Arabidopsis thaliana: one gene and its partner. The protein of the gene in region 1 interacts with the protein of each later gene in a biochemical or structural test. Each region holds a gene or a part of one and is shown on either strand. Other genes may lie near its edges. The genes, in order: AT5G10020 and AT1G14390.

Region 1 (6,646 bases):
CACGCGACAAGCGGCTAGAGGTTTGTTAGCATTAGGGGAGTATTTCCAAAGGCTTCGAGCTTTGAGTTCGAGTTGGGCGGCTAGGCAACGTGAACCAACGTAATTAAGGTGTTTAGATGTCAAGAAAGGTTTGAGACCTTAACAATCAAGAATGGAGTTTGCTGGTGAGTGGATTTTTGGGTCAAGAACAAGAGCAATAACACAAGCTGCTGTGTGATGATGAATCTTGTCTTGCGGCTAAAGGAAATGTTTGAGGAAAGTTGTACATATGATCAGCAACGTAAAGTTTATAGCTTTTTAGAAACCAACTTTTCGATGGTTGTTCTTTTTTTTTTGTATGTAATATTATAGATAAGCTTGTGGTATATATGATTTTAATGTGACATTACGAACTTGATTTATAACCATGGTAAAATTATTTAACAAAATATGTAATAATAGAATGGGGGAAGGGGAATAAATAAAAAGACATTAGTGAAAATTACAAAAATCAATGTGAATCATATATAGTCGAAAAGAGATAAAAAAAACAATTTATAAAAAAAAGAATCAATAAGCAAACACAAATGTTTCTGTCAGAATCAATGGGATTAGATTTTCTTCTACCTTTACAAGGAAGGGGAAAAATAATCAACAAAAAATAAATGTAAGAACACCTGAGGATCATTCTGAATCATCTGATCAAACTACTAGAGAGAAACATAAAACCAGAAAAGAAGAAGAAAAAATGGGATGATGTGTGAAAGGAAATCCATGGAGATTTACAGAAAAATTTAGAAGAGATAAAAAAACAAACAAATCTCAGGCAGAAATTGAAGTAAGATGATCAAGAACTTGTCTGATGTTAGGCCTTTCATTGACAGAGAGAATGCACCTGATTGCAACAGCAAGTGCATCCTCCATTCCCTTTGAGAACTCTTCCCCACCTGCTATGTCTCTGTCTATGCAATCCATTCTCCTTCCTTCTTGATCACACAACCTCACCCAATCGGTCAGATCAACGGCTCCTGTTTGACCTGAGATTATGTCACCTGCGCTCCGTCTAGTCAAAAGCTCCATGAGAATCACACCAAACGCATAGACATCGGATTTGAGTGTTGGTATCGGTTTGGAAGCCGAGGAAAGTTCAGGAGCAGAGTAACCGAGTGCACTCATGTTTAGTATCTGTTCCGCTACACCAGATGGAGTCATCAAACGGTGAACACAGTAATCAGTTATTCGCACGGTATTGTCAGGACTTGAGAGGATTATGTTAGTTGGCTTCAAGTTCCCGTGTGGCATTGCTCTATCATGAAGGTAGAGAAGACACTGAGCCACTTCAACTGCAACTTTTAGTCTTTGGCTGAAGGACATTGGAGAATACCTCCGAGGAGTAGTCTCTGCACAGAAAATTTGGCAGGGTGATTAACTTTTTTTCAAACAAGATACAGAAAGGCTTGTAGTTATAGGACTAAAAAGACTAATTAAAAGATCTTCTAACCGTAAAGATGCATGGCTAAGCTCTCTCCTCTCAGGTAATCAGACAGGAGAAGTCTTTCTTGTTCTCTGGGACCCCAATAGTATGCTCGCAACGGAACAATGTTAGGATGTTTTAAAGAGCCGATTTTTTTGGCTTCCCGTGCGAAATCTTTCTTATGCCTCACGAGGCCAACTCTCAACCATTTCACCGTCAACATGTGTCCATTATCCAGTGTTGCTTTGTACAGTGTTCCATGGCTGCTTCTACCTAGAACTTCTGCAGGAGCTCGGGATAACTCTTCTGCTGTGAGTTTTAGTGAAACGTCTAAGAAGAAGAGTTCTCCGGCCAATCTATCAGGTGAGTAAACATCTAACATCACAGGCTGGTCGCTAAAACGGGGTGAGGAGGATAGTGGGGAGCCTCCTGAAGAAGACTTGCGCCCAGATGCTGCAGGATAATCATCAAGGAGGTTTGTAGGAGCAGAAGTAGCAGGCGCACCCTGCTCGGATATTTCAGCTTCACATCCGGGTATCCCAGATAACGACCTTGAATTTGCGGTGAGCAAGTGATCGTTTGAGAAGCTCAAAGATGATGACTGCTGCTCAACATTTGAGCTGAAGTTGAATAAGGAGGGACGAGAAGAGCGTCCAAACTTGGTGTCTCTAGTCGTTGCTTGGTCTGTAAATCTATTCCTCCCGTGAAAGTCCTTGAGCTGTGTTCGATGATAGGCAAACAAGACAAAAAGAATCATAATAGCAGCTCCAACTGAAGCAACAATAATCGCTATTCTTATGCTAAGCTTCGAATGATGTTTTTTCCCAGGTAAAGACAGATCACCAGAAGAATCCGCTGGAATCCGTCCTGGGAGACTTAGCTTGGAGTTACCAGGATAAAATGAAGAAGGCGGGTAGCTTCTAAGGTCTTCCGGAATTATGCCTGATAGGTCGTTATACGACACATTGAATCCCACCATTTGGGAAGGAAGCTTATTGGGAATTTGACCCTTGAAAGTATTGTTTGACAAGTCAAGGAACAAAAGGCCACTAAGCTTGTTGAGGTCGCTTGGAAGTTCCCCGGACAGCTTATTATTGGCAAGATTCAGCACTTTAATTTTTTCCATTGTACCTATATCCCCAGGCAGCATACCCGTCAAAGAATTGGTTGAAAGGTCAAGTAACTCCATCTGCGGATAAGAATTTAGAACCAAAAGTTCGCTTGCACGTGAACCTCGAAAAGGAATTGGCCCCTCCAAGTTATTCCTAGAAAGATTCAAACTTCTCAAGCTTGCAAAAGTGAAGAAACTCACTGGAATGAAGCCACTGAACTTATTTGAACTGAGATCAATCACAGAGAATTGAGAATCACCCCACAGAGAAGGCAAGCTACCAGAGACAGAATTATTCCTAATGCTCAACACACTTAATCTTGAAAATGCAGAAGTAAAGTTCGGCAAGCTTCCCGACAAGTTGTTTGAGCTAAGATCAAGAACATCTGGAGTAGCTTCCCACTTTTGAACAACAGACACGTCGCCAGAGAAAGTATTCCCACTCAAATCTATCACTGAGCAACTTTTAAAACTCGACGGAAGATCCCCAGACAGGCCGTTAGAAGAAAGATTCAACATAGTTAACGTTGATGAATTGATTTCACTAATTGATCCTGCATTTGAACCAAAAGAAACTCCTTTAATATACATTTATACAACAGCTTCAGACAATGTGACACAAGTGTCTAGTCAAGACCATGAAACCAGTCAAATCAATGCTCAATGACATAAAGTTCAATAATTCTATTCCTGTATACCCTAAAAGTAGCAAGAAGAGAAAAGTTGTAAGATTTGAATTAACCTGTAAAACCGTTTCGACTTAGATCTAGCTCTAGCAAAGGAATCGAACTCTGCAACAACTCTTGAGGTACTAAACCGAACAACTCGTTACGAGCAAGCTTCAATATTCTCAAACTCGGCTGTGATCCAAAATGCGGTAACTCACCATTGATCTGGTTATTCTCTAAGTCAACAATCTCGAGATTCTTGAACGAACCAATGGACTCCTCACTGAAAAACTTGCCATTTAACGCATTGTGGCTCAAATTCAAGTGACGGAGAGTGTTGGAAATGCTGGAAATGTTCTCCATTGGTAAAGATAAGCCACCGTTGAAACGGTTACAGCTCAAATCAACGAACTCAACATTCTTAAGCTCAGTGAAAATCTCACCAACATCTCCCCAAATCTCGTTCTTATGCAAATCCAAAGATCTTAGCTGCTGAAGATTCCGAAAGCCACTAGGAAACCCACCTTCGAACTTGTTGGAAGACAAATTGAGATGATTCAAACTCCAAAGCTCCGAGATCCGACCCGGTATAGGTCCGTAGAAACCGTTATCCGACAGATCTAAGTGTTGAAGCGACGAGATTCCACCCAATGAAGGAACGACCCGACCCGAGAAGCTGTTTCCGGATAAAGAGAGGTTACGAAGACGAGTAAGACCAGAGAGAGTGCTGAATTTGAGTTCGCCGGAGAGACCACGACGGTCGAGATTAATGGCGATGATTGAACCGGTTTCAGGGTCGCAAGAGATACCAGGCCAGTCATTAGGGCAAGTAGATGGATCAGTGAGGCTGCTTGTATCTGACCATGAGATTCGTTGGTGTGAGGTCTCGTCACGGATCCCTTTACGGAACTCGAGTAGAGATCGGAGCTCCGTCTCGGTGACGGCGTTGGCACCGTGGAGGAGGAGAAGGAGTGAGAGGAAGCAGAAAGTGAGAAAATGACTCATTTAGCCCTGAAGAATCTATCTACTCCACAGAAGCAAATGCAGAGTGAGAAACACAGAAAGAATAAACCCTAGTAAGGATTCATAGCTGAGACTTGAGAGAAGAGAGAAACAGAGAGACGGAGATTTAGGGATTGTACTCGGAATCTGAAAAAAATTGAAAGAGGGGAAGAAGAAGAAGAGAGAGAGAAGAGTGTGTTTTTGAGGTTTTCCAAAAAAAAATCGAATTTTTATATTAGTTTTCTTATACTTCTTTATGGTATGACATTTTTTTCTATGCAATCAGAGATTAATACTAGTTTCCAATTTAAAGTTCAGATATTTTAAAAACTTTTATCATTTTAGGAATTATGAGTTTTCTCTTTACCTACTTTTACTCTAGTTAATGGAATCAATTTTTTGTTAATGGAATCTATAATTACTGATTAGTGATTACTCTCTCTAGTTCTTTTTTCTTTTTTGGTAACCTGACTACCAGTTTTTTTTTCTCTCATGTTAAAAAAACTTATGTTTTTACATAGACCATAGTGTGATCTCTTTTGAATATTCTCTGACATTCAAATAAGTAACCAAACCACATAAAATGGACTCAAAAAGGTGTTTTGGGGAAACCATCTTAGAAGACCAGTGACTATTGTTCAAAGGTTTTACTTAAAATCAATCATACCGTGAAAAAAAGACTACTTTAAATGAAAAAGAGTTGTTAGATGTGTCATTACATTTTGTTACACTAATTGCGTCAAGTCATTATCACTTATCAGCATTTATCATCTTTGTTATTACATATACTAGTTTAGGAAACATAATTAACTTGACGTAGTTAATGATACCAAAACCGGTAGATTCAAAACCAGGATATGAGTACAAGTACCAACCCAAAATATTTGTTTAAAAGGATATAACAATAAATATTATTTTTTTAAAAGGTGAAAAGAGAGGAAGAGAAGTGGTGGAATAATATATGATTAGTTTGCACTTTGCAGATAAGTAAAAAAACAGACTGGAAAGGACAATGGCATGTCTTTGAGTCGCTGTGTCTTTTCTTTTTTTTTCTCTTTTCTGAAGATGAAGAAAATTCGCACCCAAACCCTTTTTCTCACATGCAACACAACGTGACGGGGATATTGTAAGTAACGCCGTTAAGTTCTTTGTCCGTACACTGTACTACTCCTTAAACGGGAACGGAGATACTAAATAAGAGAAGAACGTGGTCTGTCATACTCAATTACTACTACTCTTCCGGACCAACCTGTCTATTTTTTTTCCCCTAATCACATACATTATTCTGTGTAAATTAGCTAAATATGACCATAATTTGCTATTTTAATTTAAATAATTAGTTGACAAAACATAAATTATTGACATTTCATGCAAAAATAAATAAATAACTTGACTACCCTAAGGTTAATAAGCTTTTTGAAGATTTATGGCACTGTTTGACTGATTGATTTATACATTCCCACTTGGAATATATATCTCCTTGTCGCGAATTTTAATGATAATACAAATATATATATAAACATTATAACTCTTGAGTAGTCTATTTATTTGCTCCTTTTAGAATGTCATTTTCTCTAACCATAAAATGAAAGATGCCAAACTTATTATATTTTGTCTATGTCTGTCCATCTCTCTTTCATATAATATATTATTGGGTCCAACTAAATAATACCATTTTGTTATTGTCGAAACTTTGACAACTAGTTGGAAAACCCCCACTAAAATACTCTTACTTTTCTTATAATTAGCATAATCGTCTAGAGTCTAAAGTAATGTGAGAAATGCCATTGCAATTTAAGAAAAACTTAAAGCATAGAGAGATAAAAAGCTGTCTCGATTTTCCGCAAAAAGAATTGGGTTCCCGTGACTCTTCTAAGATCTCAAGTACTCCCGAGGAGAATACAAACTCATAAAAGTAAAAGACATTTTGTCCTACAAACTTGGCTTAATAACTATAAAAGCTCAAAGAGTTTCTGAGAGCACCTGTGATTAAAAATAACTTTGATTTCTGCTGAAGCTTCCAAGAAAAGCTTTCTGGCTTCTCAAACATCTGATCATCTGATCTCAAAGGACTTCATGAGCCTTTCCATAGTATCGGTTAATGAATGGGGACTGCAAAAACAGAAGAAGCGAAAACCAGATCATTCACATACTCAGAGCTTTGTAACAAACTATAATCAAAACCCTTTTTTTATCAGTATCCTATTTGTTAGACTGAAACAGATTTAAACAAATTAAAGGTGGATTTTTGAGCTTTTTGTTTTACCTGGACACCAGAGACGTCTGGTGTATCTGGTGAAGGCTGAGGGTAGAATTTGTAGAACTTCATCTTTTGAAAGGCTTGCTTAGTATCTTCGCTCATTTCTTCTATTGCTTTCTTTCGAGCATCTTTGGCCTCTCGATTTGCTTTCT
Region 2 (5,522 bases), on another chromosome or scaffold:
TTTTTTTGTGGATAACTTTACATTAGCAAATTTTATGTCACAACTAAACTACAGTGTAAACTTTATGATATTTTTTTTTTTCTGAATTTATTCAACTATATGCTATATAATTTGGGTAATTTATTTTGAACATGCCTAATTTATATGGACCTAAAGATGCATATTTTGGGCCTTAAATTAGTTGGATACATATATGGGTTTAAATTCTAACCTTTAATAAGCCTATAAGCCCAAAAAATAACAGTTTGTAAGTTATCTGACAAAGGATTTTAATAATAAAGCTGCATATAAAATTGAAAAGAAATGCATGTTGTATAATATTAATTGATACTTTGGCAGTGTCGCTTATTACAAAGGCAGTTGCATGTGATGTGCTTGCAAACTCGCATTTTATCTTCCCTTACCTTTTTGTTTTTAGAAAATAGTATATTTTTTCATCATGATTACTTGGAAACTTGGAAGCTGTGACAAAATATTGGTTTTGAGTGCTTCTGATAAAACCTTGTATTTTGAACTTGAAAACTTTTGTTTTCAGCCATTTTTTTAACTTACTACGATGACGGTCACTTGTTTTGGGATGAAACTTTTTACTACTTGGTGTTGGTGATGCATGGTTTCTATAATTCCTCTTATACAACAAAACTTTTTTGGTTTTTGTCAAAAATTGTATATAACCAACCTTCTTTTTATTAGGATCGCACGTCAGGCCACTTAAAAAGAAGTAAAGAACAATGAGAGATCGATGTAAAAAGAATAAAGGAACAAAAGAGAAAGTAATGGACAGTTCATCACAATTCACACACCAAAAAGAAAACAGCTGAACATTTGTTAGAATCTCAACACTTTCCAAACACACGAAAACAAAATGACACTCATTTCTCACCGACAATAGTGATGAAAATATATCATGGCCGAACTAATTGGTAGTATTATTAGTTTGAGATTGGTATTTTTTGTAACAGTTTGATATTGAATTGTTGATTGATGACCACGAGAAAAAAGAAGTACGATTTATATCATTTGTTGGTTTACTGTATATAGATGATCATTTGGTGTCCTTCTGGTTTCGAGAAAAACAACAAGTGGTTAAAAGTGTAGTTCGAGAAAAAGATTTGGTTAGGACATGTAATTCTTTATTTGAGCTTTTAATCCAACGAACGGGGTTAGATTTTCCTTGCGACGGTGGCTTTGGATGATCCTTAACGGCACGATCTGATCATTACATATTTACATTGACGAAAGAGCACGTGTAAAAAAACTCGTTCACTGGTCTGGTTGACTTTTATTACATACTGTCTGGTCGCTATATATCTATCAAATCTCTATGCATTAACAATTAATGCAACGTTGCTCATTAATTAAGTATGTATTTTTTGTTATTTTACAAGTAGTATTGATATTACAGGAGTTAAAATGTTATAAAAGAAACTACAAACATTTATTCGTAAGTTTATTCATTTATATTTTTTAAAAAATTGGTAAAGATGAAAGAATTTACCTTGGGGAAGAGATCAACGGATTTCGAGAGAAGTACTACTACACAACATTTATTCGTCAAACATGTATGTATTTGTATGTTTATGCATGTATTATGTATCAAATAAATGCATGTTATATGAGTAATAAAGAAAGGTCTTCTGACCATAACAGAGAAATTAATTAAGAACCAGTTGAAGTAAATAAATAACTCTAAATTGTGGAAATTTTAGATCAAAAGTAGATAAATAGTCAGATATTTCATGTGGATTTTACGTATTTTAAGGATCTAATTCATTTTATGCTTTTAAAAAATTTCATTCACTTTCTTCGAAGCAGTAAAACAGTCTGTCAATGTGAAACTTATGAACAATCAACATAAGAAACAAAAATTAAACAAAATTTGTATTTATTGTCTTCTTCTCAGCAGAACTTCTCTCCACTTAATTTTGTTTCTTGCTCTGTCCCAAAAACATTGTTTCATTTTTTTATCTCCCAATTTCCCTAGAAAATCTGCTTCCGATCTAAAAAAATCTCTAGAATTTATGTACAAAACACCATTTTTTTAGACTACTAAACAAATACTAACACTAATCTCGGCTACAATAACAGAAAGACCTTCTGTTCCTTAAGCCACAATAACATCTTTCTTTCTAATTTCTCTGTAATTCTTCCTGAGAGAATGCATAGTTCCTCTAAAAGCCAGGCCTTTTCTCTCACTTTTCTTCTCTTTCTTTTTCTTCTGCCATCAGTCTCAGAATCACAGCTAATATCAAGTGAATCAAGAACTCTATTAGAAATCCAAAAGCATTTACAATATCCACCAACTCTTCGATCATGGAGCAACTGGACCAATTTCTGCTACCTCCCTTCTTCTCCTTCTTTCAAAATCCTCTGTTTCAATGGTCATGTAACTGAATTAACCGTCACGGGGAACAGAACCGTTAAGCTCCCCGGAAGATTCTCAAGCGACTCACTATTCACTGTTCTTACAAAACTCTCAAACTTAAAGACATTGTCTCTGGTCTCTCTTGGCATCTCTGGTCCTCTCCCTTCACAGATCATCAGGTTATCTTCATCTCTTCAATCTCTGAATCTCAGTTCTAATTTCATCTCTGGGAATATTCCTAAAGAGATCTCGTCGTTGAAGAATCTGAGAAGTCTTGTTCTAGCGAACAATTTGTTTAACGGAAGTGTTCCTGATCTCAGAGGATTGTCGAATCTTCAAGAGCTGAATTTAGGCGGTAATAAACTCGGTCCTGAAGTTGTTCCTTCACTTGCAAGTAACTTGATTACTATTTCATTGAAGAACAACTCTTTTGGATCAAAGATTCCAGAACAGATCAAGAAGCTGAATAAGCTTCAGAGCTTAGATCTTTCCTCCAACAAGTTCACTGGCTCAATCCCAAGATTCCTGCTTTCGCTTCCTTCGCTTCAGAATCTAAGTTTAGCACAAAACTTGCTGAGTGGATCACTTCCAAATTCATCGTTGTGCAACTCCAAGCTTAGAATTTTAGATGTTTCTCGGAATCTTCTGACTGGGAAGCTTCCATCTTGCTTCTCTTCCAAGAAACAGACAGTACTGCTCTTCACATTCAATTGCTTGTCTATAAATGGTTCTCCTTCTGCAAAGTATCAGCGTCCAGTTACCTTCTGTGAAAACGAAGCAAAGCAAGCAGTAGCTGCTGTGAAGTCTGACACTAAAGATAAAGAAAGGAAAGAAGAAGATACAGGAATCGAACTTGGATTGGTGATTGGCATTATCATCGGTGTGATCCTCGTTTCAGCGGTTTTAGCTGGCTTGGTTTTGGTTAGGATGAGAAAATCAAGATCAAAAGAAGAGCCTTTGGAAGCAAACAACGTCGATCAGGTCACTGTTTGCAGCAACACCACCAGGTCCACCACATCAAAGACAGTACCAGATCTAAGTAGGCTATTACTTTGAAATCTTGAATCAAGTTTTCACACCCATTAACCTAACTAGCTTGATTTTTTCAAATGCAGGACGTGTACCGCAAACCATGAGATCCGCGGTGATTGGACTATCACCATACCGAGTTTTCTCTTTGGAGGAACTGGAAGAAGCAACCAACAATTTTGATGCAGAGAATCTCTGTGGAGAACAGGTAAAGGAAAATGTAAATAAGACATGATTTAAAATTGATCCGAGTGTCTAACTAATCGATATATCTAATTTCAAAACAGCTGTACAAAGGTTGTCTTAGAGAAGGCATAGCAGTGACAGTGAGGTGTATTAAGCTGAAACAGAAGAATTCAACACAGAATTTAGCTCAACAAATGGAAGTTTTATCAAAGCTAAGGCATATGCATTTGGTCAGTGTTCTTGGACACTGCATTGGTACTTATCAAGATCATCATCCTTATGCCGGAAGCACTATTTTCATTGTCCAAGAATATATCTCTAACGGGTCTTTGAGGGATTACCTCACCGGTAATACTTGAAAAAGATTATCGATTTCAAGAACTTATATTTTTGTTGGGAAACTAATTATTTGGAAATGTTTTTGGCAGATTGGAGAAAGAAAGAGGTGTTGAAATGGCCTCAGAGAATGTCGATAGCGATTGGAGTTGCTCGAGGAATACAGTTCTTGCACACAGGAGTGGCACCAGGAATATTTGGGAACAATTTGGAAATAGAGAATGTTTTACTTGATGAAACACTCACTGTAAAACTCAGTGGTTATAGTATTCCTTTACCATCCAAGGTATATAAACAAACCAGATATAATATAATCAGGATATAGCTTCTAATCTTCAGTTTAACCTCTCATGAAATATATAACCTTCTGGGGGAATTTCAGGTTGGAGCGGAGAGCCCTAGTAATGAAGATGGAGAGAAAGAAGATGTGTACCAGTTTGGAGTGATACTAATTCAGATCATCACAGGCAAAGTAATAGCAGCTGCATCTTCAGAGTTGGGGAGCTTGAAGCTTCAGCTGGAGAACAGTTTGAGAGACGAACCATCGGTGTTGCGTAGCTTGGCAGATCCGTGTGTGAGAGGAACATATGCATACGAGTCATTGAGAACCACAGTAGAGTTTGCCATTAACTGTCTTTGTGAAGATCAGAGGAAGCGGCCATCGATAGAGGATGTTGTATGGAATCTGCAGTACACAATTCAAGTGCAACAAGGATGGACAAGCAGTGAGAACCTCGGGCTTGGTGGTTCAGAACTATAGAAGAGAAATATAAAATCACCATCCTTGAAGAACATAGAGAAACTGATCAATGTCAAATTCAAGGCCTATATGAGAATACATAAAGTTGAACCTACTAATACTTAAGGTACTTACGAGTCTCATGTGAAGCTTCAGATTTTGGTGTAGAAATTGGATTAGCGTCACAAAGAAAGCAATGCAATTGTTAAGGCAATGAAAGGGTGTAACAGAAGGATAAGGCCACAAACCCTTAAATAAAATATCGCAACTTTGTGGAATTTGGGTACAAAGTTGTTTTTTGTAGCTAGCAAGTAAATCGTAATACATATATACACAAAAGTGAATAATTCAGATGGTTTGGTACAAAGTTGTTTTTTTAAGGATGTTGGGTTACATCAAAGCATGGAATCACTTAAATAGTTTTGGAAACACAAGACATGAATGAAAAGAGAAGAAAGCTGTTGCTGAATCGTGATTGAGAGAAAGTAGAGAGAGCTACAACGCTTACAACAAACTACTACTAGTCAGCAGTCCAGCTTTGCTCAACAACATCACGCACTCTCCTGTTGTACTCGCGCTTGCTTTCGCTGTACATCCGAGCAGCTTCCGAGTTTGCAGGAGAATTCGGATTAGGGTCACAGAGCAAGGACTGCAATAACAAAGGGAAAAACGGATTAGAGAAGAAGAAAGCAATTCAAGCTTTTAAGGGCATCAAGAGATGTTCATATGGCATTTTGAATTCACCTGGATGGAGGTAAGTATAGCAGCAACATCATAGATTGGACTCCACTGGTTTTGTAGAATGTCCAAGCAGATACTCCCATCTGCATAAACTACACAACGAATAGAGCAGAAGAACGTTAATTG

What was found.
Region 2: the proteins of AT5G10020 (region 1) and AT1G14390 form a complex in vitro, tested with the Arabidopsis thaliana proteins (one large-scale study listed by BioGRID).

The regions. Positions count from the first base shown.
Region 1 is NC_003076.8:3,131,105-3,137,750, reverse strand, and holds AT5G10020 (Leucine-rich receptor-like protein kinase family protein), read right to left. Parts: upstream 4,508-6,646; 5' UTR 4,238-4,507; coding exon 3,307-4,237; intron 3,119-3,306; coding exon 1,481-3,118; intron 1,380-1,480; coding exon 802-1,379; 3' UTR 509-801; downstream 1-508. Other genes in the region: TGA4 (TGACG motif-binding factor 4), read left to right, coding at 1-103; AT5G10010 (myosin-H heavy protein), read right to left, coding at 6,299-6,346, 6,501-6,646.
Region 2 is NC_003070.9:4,922,119-4,927,640, forward strand, and holds AT1G14390 (Leucine-rich repeat protein kinase family protein), read left to right. Parts: upstream 1-1,918; 5' UTR 1,919-2,158; coding exon 2,159-3,404; intron 3,405-3,480; coding exon 3,481-3,602; intron 3,603-3,681; coding exon 3,682-3,928; intron 3,929-4,008; coding exon 4,009-4,202; intron 4,203-4,298; coding exon 4,299-4,676; 3' UTR 4,677-4,796; downstream 4,797-5,522. Other genes in the region: UBC1 (ubiquitin carrier protein 1), read right to left, coding at 5,176-5,304, 5,400-5,488.